Caenorhabditis elegans: one gene and its partner. The protein of the gene in region 1 interacts with the protein of each later gene in a biochemical or structural test. Each region holds a gene or a part of one and is shown in the gene's direction. Other genes may lie near its edges.

Region 1 (6,165 bases):
CTTTTTCCCTCGATTTTCTCATTTTCGAATCGGATTTCCAGGGTGGAAGGATCCACGTGTCGTTCTCGATTTATATCGTAAATCTGAAAGAAAAAAAAAATATTTTTTCGAAGTTTTTTAGAGTTTTCAGCGAATTTTCAAGCTTTTAAATGAAATAATTACGAGATTTCGTGCATTTTTTCCAGATTTTCACTGAAAAAACTGCAAATTTCGTCAATTTTCAGTATTTTTTCTGAAAAAAAACTAGATGCCAGTGAATTTTCAGCTTTTTTACAATAAAATTGCCATTTTTAACAGGTTTCGGTCAAAATTTTGTGGTTTTTAGTAATTTTTTGGAGTTTTCAACTGAAAATTGCAATTTAAAAAATGTATTTTTCGGATTTTCAGCCAACTTCTAAGATTTTTACTGAAAAATATCAATTTTCTGGGAAATCGCTGAGTTTTCAGCTTTTTTAACCACAAAATTTGAATTTTTCACTAGTTTTCAGTCGAAAATTTGTGTTTTAAACAGAAAGTTCAAGTTTAAAAATTTATTTTTCGGATTTTCAGTCAACTTCCAAGATTTTTACCGAAAGATACAGAATTTAATCCATTTTTTAAGTTTTTTCAGCGCAAAATTGCAATTTTGCTCTGATTCTTGCTGCAAAATCGGATTTTTTATCGATTTTTCTTCATTTTTTTCTGGTTTTTTTGTGTTTTCCAGGACCACACATAAAAATGCAGTTTAAAATCGATTTTCTCGAATTTCTAGTGAATTTTTCGCAATTTCCAGGCAAAAAACTACGAACATTGATGAAATTGAGAATTGTATCGATTAATCCCGGCTTATTCCACGCCAGACGCTTCGAACTGCCCAGATAATTGATAAAACAGGGGAAGAGATCGGCATGATTCCGGCAAAGGCTCGGATATCGATCGAGAAGCACCGAAAGTGTGCTCAGTGCGAGGTGGCGGACTCTGAAAATTCAAAATTTCCCATTTTTCAGAAAAAATCCACTCACTCTGTGACGATATTCGTTAGAGCGCGGAGCACGTGGGACAGGAAAAGTGTGATATGAGCCGACATTGCTTGAATTGAAGCTGTACACAGAATTTTGTAGAGATTCAGTAGATTCTGACGTGTGGAGGGCTCGAAAGAAGCGTCAGCCACGTGCACAGCCACGCAGGGAACCAAAAGCCTCAACTGGACGTTGACAAGATCCGGGCGAGACGTTAAAATCTGTTTTAGTCCTTGAATAGCGTTCATTTTCACTTTCTGAACGAGAATTTATTAATTTTGATCGATATTCAGCGAAAAATTACCGCATTAAAGTGCCCCATCTGCTTGCAGAGCTCATCGAGCGTTAGACCACGGAAACTAAGTGGATTATCATCTGTTTCCACTTTTTCCTCCAACTGAGTCGCCAATACTACTCGTTTTGCTGAAAAAATGAATTAAAATTCGCGAAAATCGGGTGAAAACTCACCTTTGATAGTCGTGTCGGTGGTCGTCGTTTTTTTCAGCTTTTTTCCCACCTTCAGCTTGACTTTTTTGAAATCTTCGTTTTTCCGTGCCTTCTTTTTGGTCACCATCTGCAAAAAATGTTAATTTTCGCGTGTTTCTTGAGAGAATAACAAGAAAAATGCGAAAATGGCAAAGGAAAAAAAAAGAGAGGAGAGACCACGCCTCGGTGAAGTGCAAGTTTCATAGATATTGATTCGAGAGAAAATTATTCCCATAAATAGAAACATCACGCCCAATTTTTAATATTTTCTTTTATTCAGAGTTAAAATAAATTGAAAACCAAATTGTTAAAATTTTTCCCACTATGCTCAAATCAGATCCTTACAATAATTTATAATTATCCTGCGTTCCCGTTTCTGCACACTCATTTATCTCATAATACAGCAACGTCTCCAAAGCAAAAGCGCTCTACTGCGCATAGGAAAAAGGCGCGAATCGAGTGATTTGAATAATTTCGCGGTGTTTTACCGCATTTTATCTTCTTTTTTCTCATTTTTAAACGACGTTTTACTCTTATAAATATTTTTCACGTATTATAGTTTCATATATCTTTCACACATTCGTCCTCCTAAAAAATTTAGTGATTCTGAAGGCTCGTAATTTATATGGCATGAATGTTCTGAAATATTCCTAATTTTTTGAACTTTCAGATTTTTATTTTTGAACATAAAATGGCTCACACTTTTGCGTGCCCACGTGGAGATTGTGGACTTTTTTCGCTTTCCAAACTGTAAGTCAAACATTGTATTGCATAATCACCGGTTTTTGTTTCAGGGACGATCATCTCACTGCGGATCATCATCTGGAACACATGTGTTCAGAGTGCGAAGAGAGCTTTGGCTCTGCAGAAGAGGCCAAAGAGCATACTCTTTTAGCTCACGAAAATGCTCAAACATTCGATGATCCAAAAATTAGAAATACTAGGTATTGTTGTTATCTCAGAGCTAAAATAAATATAATATTTCAGAATTGTAGATTCCATAATTGCAGCAGTGAGAGTATCCGGTGATGTGATTGAAGAATTCAATTCAGTGATCATGCGAGCGGTTATTCGTCATTGGGGAAACACGAGCACGGAAAAGCTGGTAAGGAGCAGATGATAATTTTATTTTATCTGAGAATGCGTTTTGCGCAAAATATCTTGTATCGAAAACTACAGTAACTTTTTCAAAGACTACTGTATCACTAGCGGCGACTTACGGAAATCATTCGATAAAAATTAAAAGAAATCACAAAAATGACAACAACTTGAATTTCGCTGTCACAATTTGATCAGAAAATTACAAATAGCAAGCCAATACATCGACGCCAGTTCTACAGTAGGCAGTTCAGGTTTTTTATACAGTTAAGTATTATATTAAAAGTAAAATATTAAAACTGTCACCTTAAATTTGAATCCAGCCAAGCCCGCGAAAAACTCCGCTCGATTTCGGATGCCGAAAATTGGCTCGAATCGAGAGATATTCGGGAGATGCTGGAATCAAATAAGACCTACTTTCTTTTAGATTTCCGCCGATCACCACAAAAATGAAAAGAGTGGGTAATATATCGCGGCCGACAACCCACGGGTTCCGCGCCTCGCTATAAATTAAGTAAATTAAGCCACGCCCTTCAAAAGCACACCAACTGATAGGGTGTGGCTTAATTGACTTAATTTAGAGCGAGGCGCGGAACCCGTGGGTTGTCGGCCGCCATGTATTACCCACTCTTTTCATTTTTGTGGTGATCGGCGGAAATCTAAAAGAAAGTAGGTCTTATTTGATTCCAGCATCTCCCGAATATCTCTCGATTCGAGCCAATTTTTGGCATCCGAAATCGAGAGGGAATTTTTCACGGGCTTGGCTAAATTCAAATTTGATGTGACAGTTTTAAAATTTTGATACTCTTTTTAACGAAAAATTATTCGATTTCAGATTGCTGTCGTTGATTCTCCAATGATTACTCGTGACTTCTATATCGACTGTTTTGAAGCTTTAAAGATGGTAGACTATTCATTTGTATTTAAACAATGAAATAAAATTCGAAATTTGCAGAGATACGATTCTGGAGAGAAGTCCATCGATCTTCTCTGTCGTTTGGCAAAATTGTGTACAAAAATTGGAAATTTTGTTGAGAAGGAAAAGAGAAAGGACATCATAATCAAAGGAAAGATGTACGCTACCGAAGCCTGGAACACCGATTCGTACAACATCTTGGCTGCTCATTGGGCCGCTGTGATGTCAGGAAAGGCAATCGAATATCTTGAAGGCGATGAAAAGAATCTGGAGATGAGACACTGCAGACAATATCTCGATCGTGCCATCTCTATCCAGGCAGGAAAAAATGCAATGTACAATAATATTCTTGGCCGTTGGGCTCTTTCAGCACTGGAGATTTGGGAGTCTGACCGACAACAGTTAATTCATCATTATGCCACCCCATATGACGCTATCGACGATGCCATTTATCAGTTCAGATCCGCTTTCGATCTCATACCGTATTGGATCGATAATATTGTACACCTGGGCAAAGCGCTTCTTTACAATGAAAACAAAGAAGCCGCCATTGGAATGTTTCAGCTCGCACTCAAAATGGACCCGTCGAACGATATCGAGAAAGAGTTGCTCGCCGACGCCCTTGACTTGTGCTCAATTTGATCCTTCTTTTATTTCCATTTTATTTTCTGTGTCTCATTTTTCCGTTTGCACTTTCCTCCGTTTTTTTATTGTAAAAATTCCGTAAAAATCGGCCCAAAATTCCCATTTTCAGGGGATTCTTGGAGCCCAACTTCTTTTTTTAAAAATTTGGATTTTTAAATTTTTCCCCGATTTTCTATAGGAAATTCCAAAACATTTACTGAAAAATAGAAAAAAAAATGGCCAGATTTCTCGAAAAAATTAAAATTTTTGGAATTTTTCTGATTTTTAGCTAATTTTTTGAAAAAACTGGCTCAAAAATTTTTTTTTGGTATTTTTTAAAGAATTTTTATTTTTAGAAAATCCGTGAAAATTGAGGGAAATTGAGCCAGAAATTTGGTATTTTGGAGCCCAAAATCTGTTAATTTTTATTTTTAAATTTCCACGAATTTTAAGCTAATTTTCTGAAGAAGTTGGCTCAAAATTTCGGTTTTTTGGAATTTATTTTTTTCCTGAATTCCTAGAATTTATAGTGTAGTTGATCCGGAAATTCTATTTTTCTCAAATAATTGAAAATTTTTACTTTCAGAAAATCCCTGAAAATTGAGTGAAATTGAGCTCAAAATTCATATTCTTCTCAAAAAATTGATTTTTCTGTTGAAACTTCCTTGAGAAAATTTCTAGAAGAAGCTGGCTCAAAATTTCGAATTTTTGGAAAGTTTTTGGAATTTTCATAATCAAGTTTTTTTCGAAAAAATTGAAATTCCGCCGAGTTTAAGCTAATTTTTAGAATTTTTCTCAGTTAACGGTTCTTTTCTAGTGAAAAATTCCAAAATTTAGAAATTTAAAAATCCCTTTTCCCCTTATAAATTGCCCCAAACATTTCCGCTTCAACCAATTTTTCAACATTTTTATTCTATATTTAACGGCTATACAAAAAAATCGATAATTTCTCAGGTTTTCACCTCTATTTCCTATCTTGTTCACACGCCTCGGTCCCAAAATTTAATAGATTTTCAGGCCAAAAAAACCAATGGGGTTTTTACAAATTCTTCAAGAATGTCGAGCCGAAGGACTATGGCCAATTGGGCCATCTTGTAATAAGGTGCTGTGAAAAATTTGGAAAAAAATTATTATACATTCGTCGAAAAATTTCATCTCAGTTTAAAGGCGCACACATTTTTTGTACTTTGGGTCTCACCACGATTTCGACTTTTTGAAGCTTAAAATCACTAAAAATTACGTGGATCGTGGCAGGACAAAAAAGTGTTATTATACATTCGCCAAAAAATGCCAGCTGATGAAAGGTGCATGTTTTTTGCAAAAATTGCAAAAAATTACCAATCGAAAAAAAAAACTCATATTTTTCCGATGGGTCTCGCCACGATCTGCGTCTTTTGGATCCTAAAAGAACCCAAAATTATGTGAATCGTGGCGGGACCCAGAAGTGTATGCGCCTTTAAAATAGGAGAGTATATTTTTGAGAATGTGTAATAATTTATTTTTTTGCTTTGAAGAAACTTTTTATCATTTTATGATAATAATAATTTTATTATACATACGTCGAAAAAATGTCATGGCAATTACCTTTAGGTCTCGCCACGATCTACGTCTTTTGGATCCTAGAAGCGTCCAAAATCACGCAATTCGTGACGAGACCCAACAGTGTATGCGTCTTTAAAATAAGCTTGCATAATTGTGGGAATGTATAATAATTTATTATTGTATTTTTTCAATTATTTATTACAAAAAAATGTATCAAAAAATTTTATACAAATCAACAAAAAAAACAAAAACAATTTTTTTCGTGTACTCCACACGGACAACAAACTGTAGTTTTACAACTAAAACGCGCCGTAAATCTACACAAAATCTCTCCGACCCAAAATGGCCTAATTCGGCAAACTCTGCCATTTCGATTCATGAGGGAAGCCAGAATTCCGTGTTTTAACCGAAAATTCCAGAGTCTATCAAAAAATTCCAATTTCACCTTTCTACCGTAGTCCAGCGCGGGAATTCAAAATTCTCACGTTCCACCGGTCTCCC
Region 2 (5,152 bases), 5.2 Mb from region 1:
TCCAGATCTTTCCATCATTTTCTTCATTCATTCGCGCTCTCTCATTATCTTGAGTTGCCGGCTATTTTCGCTGCTCTCTGCTTTTTCGTATCGCTTTTTCACTCTTTCCAGCATTCAGAAAATTGCATTATTTCGGTTTTCATTTAAAAAACTCATAGCAAAGTATTTTGTTATTGATTTCGCAATACTTTCGAAAAGTATCGGAAAATTTTAATGTTTAGTCTGTGCGTTCCTCATTCCCTGTTCTCGTTGTACTCTTAACTGATGTTTTTAAATTTAGTTTTCCGGGGCTCTCTTGAAAAGACCCAATAGTCGTATTGAACCTTCGCCTGATCGCCACTAGCTCATCTTTTAGTCTTATGACGGGCTCACATGATTCTCCCCAGTGTCCTCCCGTTTTCTCACTGCACTTGTTTTGTCGTTCGTTCATCAGTACAAAGTACAAGCACTTTCGCGTCTGTCTGAAAATTGGTTCGGGTGCCGTTAGGACATTATTCATACTTTCCTGCTAGTCGCAGATTATAAAAAAATGTCCTTGACCGTCTGCTCTTTCTTATGTTCTCCCTATATATGCGTCAAACGAACAACTGACCCTGTTCACTTTTCCTATTCTTCGTTTCATCATTTTCTGTAACAAAAATGGAAACAATACTTTACACAGACGTCACTATTATTCAGGCCTATGATTTCTCTATCGTTTAGTTAAAGATGAAAAGAAACTGGTCGACCCAGTTGCATGACGAGAAAAAAGAACACCCCGTTCGATTTTCGTTGTATTCCCTCTGCACACATTGTCCCCTTCTTCCTCATCATTTCTTTCCCTACACAGCACTCTAGAATGTTCTTCTTGTGCAGAAAGAGTGCCGTTTGAGTCAGCGACCCCCCCCCCCCCCCTCCTTTCTCTTGCTCTTCCTCACTGGTTCTCGTAATAGGCGACTTCTTGCTAACAGAAAGTGAGCATAGCAACATTTTTTACTTTGTGGCCTTCAATAATACGTGCGTCGTTTAATTAGAATGTTTGAGTAAAGTTCAACGTGTAGATTCAATATTCACGTTTTGGGCGCTCTTTAATTTATTACTGTCAAGAATCAGTTTACCAAACGGTGAGTTTCTTTTTTTTTGTCTAATTGTAAGATTTAGCGGGGTAAAACCAACAGAAATGTCATGCTTTTTTGAATAATCTCAATCAGTTGTTATATGAATTATTTTCCCATTTTAGCAATACTGCTTGGTAGTTATTTTCGGTCAGAGAAACGAGGACATCAGCTGAACATCTGCGTCTCTAACAACACTCGGGGAAGGCGGAGTCAGTGTGCGCGTGCGTTGGGGGTTTTATCGATCGTTGAGGCGGGCATACAGCAGTCATACACCCCATTCGACCAGAACGCTCCGCTCGCGTGCCACCTTGTCTCCATTCTCATTTCACTTGTCTCTACTCGGACATTACTCCTCATCGATTAGCTCTTTACTACCATTTTACTTTTATGCCTTTCTTTTTTCGTTTGACTTGCCTATGACGAGTGGGGATGAAGTTTGCTTTGTTAGTCTTACTAGTGTATCGATTTTTTGGGTAATATTTCGCAACTTTCTAGGACTTTCTTTCATAATCACCTCTTCTCTCGCCTCCTCATTCCAGTTTTATTCGCACTCATTTTCTATTTTTTCAGCAATCATGCAAATCTTCGTCAAAACGTTGACTGGAAAAACTATCACCCTGGAGGTGGAGGCTTCCGATACCATCGAAAATGTCAAAGCCAAGATCCAAGACAAGGAAGGAATTCCACCAGATCAGCAGCGTCTCATCTTCGCCGGAAAGCAGCTCGAGGACGGCCGCACCCTGTCTGACTACAACATCCAGAAGGAATCTACTCTTCACTTGGTTCTTCGTCTTAGAGGAGGAATGCAGATCTTTGTCAAGACTTTGACTGGAAAGACCATCACACTTGAAGTTGAAGCTTCCGACACGATCGAGAACGTCAAGGCCAAGATTCAAGACAAGGAGGGAATCCCACCAGATCAGCAGCGTCTTATCTTTGCTGGTATGTTACATATAACAAATTTTGTTCATGAGAGACTAATTTTTTTCCAGGAAAGCAATTGGAAGATGGACGCACACTCTCTGATTACAATATTCAGAAAGAGTCTACTCTCCACTTGGTGCTCCGCCTCAGAGGAGGTATGCAGATCTTCGTCAAGACATTGACTGGAAAGACCATCACACTTGAAGTCGAAGCTTCCGACACGATCGAAAATGTCAAGGCTAAGATTCAAGATAAAGAAGGAATCCCACCAGATCAGCAAAGACTTATCTTCGCCGGAAAGCAGCTCGAGGACGGCCGCACCCTTTCGGACTACAACATCCAGAAGGAATCAACTCTTCATTTGGTTCTCCGTTTGAGAGGAGGTATGCAGATCTTCGTCAAGACATTGACCGGAAAGACCATCACCCTCGAAGTCGAAGCCTCCGACACCATCGAAAATGTCAAGGCCAAGATCCAAGACAAGGAAGGAATTCCACCAGATCAGCAGAGACTTATTTTTGCTGGTACGTTGGCAAAATATCTAATATTTGACCTAAAATTTATTATATATTTTCAGGAAAGCAACTCGAGGATGGCCGTACCCTTTCGGACTACAATATCCAGAAGGAATCAACCCTCCATTTGGTGCTCCGCCTAAGAGGAGGAATGCAGATCTTCGTCAAGACTTTGACCGGAAAGACTATTACTCTTGAGGTTGAAGCTTCTGACACTATTGAGAACGTGAAGGCCAAGATCCAAGACAAGGAAGGTATCCCACCAGATCAACAGCGTTTGATCTTTGCCGGAAAGCAACTCGAGGATGGCCGTACTCTCTCCGATTACAACATCCAAAAGGAGTCTACTCTTCATTTGGTTCTCCGTCTCCGAGGAGGAATGCAAATCTTCGTCAAGACTCTTATCGGAAAGACCATCACCCTCGAAGTCGAAGCCTCCGATACCATCGAGAACGTGAAGGCCAAGATTCAGGACAAGGAAGGAATTCCTCCAGATCAGCAACGTCTCATCTTCGCTGGAAAGCAGCTCGAAGACGGCCGCACCCTTTCGGACTACAACATCCAGAAGGAATCAACTCTTCATTTGGTTCTCCGTTTGAGAGGAGGTATGCAAATCTTCGTGAAGACTTTGACTGGAAAGACTATCACCCTCGAAGTCGAAGCCTCTGATACCATCGAAAATGTGAAGGCCAAGATCCAAGACAAGGAAGGAATCCCACCAGATCAGCAGCGTCTTATCTTTGCCGGTACGTTATATAGATATACATAACTCAAATCAACTATTATTATTTCAGGAAAGCAATTGGAAGATGGGCGCACGCTCTCTGATTACAACATTCAGAAGGAATCTACTCTTCACTTGGTTCTCCGTCTCCGAGGAGGAATGCAGATCTTCGTCAAGACTCTTACAGGAAAGACCATCACGCTCGAGGTGGAAGCTTCTGACACTATTGAGAACGTGAAGGCCAAGATCCAAGACAAAGAAGGTATCCCACCAGATCAGCAACGCTTGATCTTCGCCGGAAAGCAACTCGAGGATGGCCGTACCCTTTCGGACTACAATATCCAGAAGGAATCAACCCTCCATTTGGTGCTCCGTCTCAGAGGAGGTATGCAGATCTTCGTCAAGACATTGACTGGAAAGACCATCACACTTGAAGTCGAAGCCTCTGATACCATCGAGAATGTGAAGGCCAAGATTCAAGACAAGGAAGGAATCCCACCAGATCAGCAGAGACTCATCTTCGCCGGAAAACAACTCGAAGACGGTCGTACCCTCTCCGACTACAACATCCAAAAGGAGTCTACTCTTCATTTGGTTCTCCGTCTGAGAGGAGGTATGCAGATCTTCGTCAAGACATTGACCGGAAAGACCATCACCCTCGAAGTCGAAGCCTCCGACACCATCGAAAATGTCAAGGCCAAGATCCAAGACAAGGAAGGAATTCCACCAGATCAGCAGAGACTTATTTTCGCTGGTGAGTTCATATTGTTTTTAGAATTAAAACTAATTTTTATTGTTTTTCAGGAAAGCAACTCGAGGATGGCCGTACCCTTTCGGACTACAATATCCAGAAGGAGTCTACTCTTCATTTGGTGCTCCGTCTCAGAGGAGGTATGCAGATCTTCGTCAAGACTTTGACTGGAAAAACCATCACTCTCGAGGTCGAAGCTTCGGACACCATTGAGAATGTCAAAGCCAAAATCCAGGATAAGGAGGGAATCCCACCAGATCAGCAACGTTTGATCTTTGCTGGAAAGCAGCTCGAGGATGGACGCACTCTATCCGATTACAACATCCAAAAGGAGTCGACACTTCATCTCGTTCTTCGTCTTCGCGGAGGAGACATTTAAATCGAACCCATCAATTCACTCGTTATTCCTCCTCGATCTCCGTTCAAGTAACAATTATTTATTCTTTATTCCTTCGGGAATTTCTGTATTTTAATGAACGAGCTCTGAATAAATTCATTTTCGTGTACTCAAACGATTTATCTTTAACAATAACAAACAACAAAGATAACTACTCTATGAAGTGTAAGGTTCAACTATATTTATAGATCAGATGCTGGATTGTCCTATGAGTTGCGCTTTCAATGTCTGCGAATTGGCGTCGGTGATCAGAATCTTTGCATATTGACCAGGTTCCAAACAGAGTTTCGAATTGTCGAACACTGCTTTCACACCACCATCGATCCTTCCATGTGAAAATGATGCATCCCTTTTTGACTTCTAAAAATATTATTTTAATTCATTTTATTGGTGTTTATAGATGACTCACTCCTTCCAACAAAACCGTCTGTTCCGACCCGATAAGCGCTTGGTTCAATTTCAATGCTTCTTCCCGAAATACAGTAGTCAAATCTAAATGTCTTCTTGCTTTTACATCTTCTGGAACATCGTCTGTTAACCGATGATGTGCTCGCGTTTTCTGAAAATAATCTGATAGGAACAATTTTCAGCAACTGACTCACTCCACGCATACTGTAGGGGAAAACGAAGCAGAATGAATAACGAACGGCTCGAATGAGGGAAAGTGTGTTCTGATGAGCTTGTTCAGTTTCTCCACAGAATCCGGCAATGAAGTCACTTGTCAGAGAGACGCCTGATAAAATA

The links.
Region 2: of the proteins of sup-35 (region 1) and ubq-1, one has a biochemical effect on the other in vitro, tested with the Caenorhabditis elegans proteins (one study listed by BioGRID).

Annotation. Positions count from the first base shown.
Region 1 is NC_003281.10:11,115,210-11,121,374, reverse strand, and holds sup-35 (Regulator of microtubule dynamics protein 1), read left to right. Parts: upstream 1-2,148; 5' UTR 2,149-2,175; coding exon 2,176-2,234; intron 2,235-2,278; coding exon 2,279-2,428; intron 2,429-2,471; coding exon 2,472-2,589; intron 2,590-2,890; exon of another isoform or gene 2,891-3,014; intron 3,015-3,417; coding exon 3,418-3,486; intron 3,487-3,537; coding exon 3,538-4,140; 3' UTR 4,141-5,152; coding exon of another isoform or gene 5,153-5,224; 3' UTR 5,225-5,621; downstream 5,622-6,165. Other genes in the region: Y48A6C.4 (Pre-rRNA-processing protein Ipi1 N-terminal domain-containing protein), read right to left, coding at 1-83, 789-957, 1,002-1,255, 1,303-1,421, 1,467-1,572.
Region 2 is NC_003281.10:5,939,319-5,944,470, forward strand, and holds ubq-1 (Ubiquitin-related), read left to right. Parts: upstream 1-1,667; 5' UTR 1,668-1,672; coding exon 1,673-2,039; intron 2,040-2,089; coding exon 2,090-2,545; intron 2,546-2,598; coding exon 2,599-3,282; intron 3,283-3,330; coding exon 3,331-4,014; intron 4,015-4,064; coding exon 4,065-4,390; 3' UTR 4,391-4,509; downstream 4,510-5,152. Other genes in the region: F25B5.5 (CDK5RAP1-like protein), read right to left, coding at 4,598-4,768, 4,818-4,967, 5,011-5,141. UniProt on the Caenorhabditis elegans protein: Ubiquitin exists either covalently attached to another protein, or free (unanchored).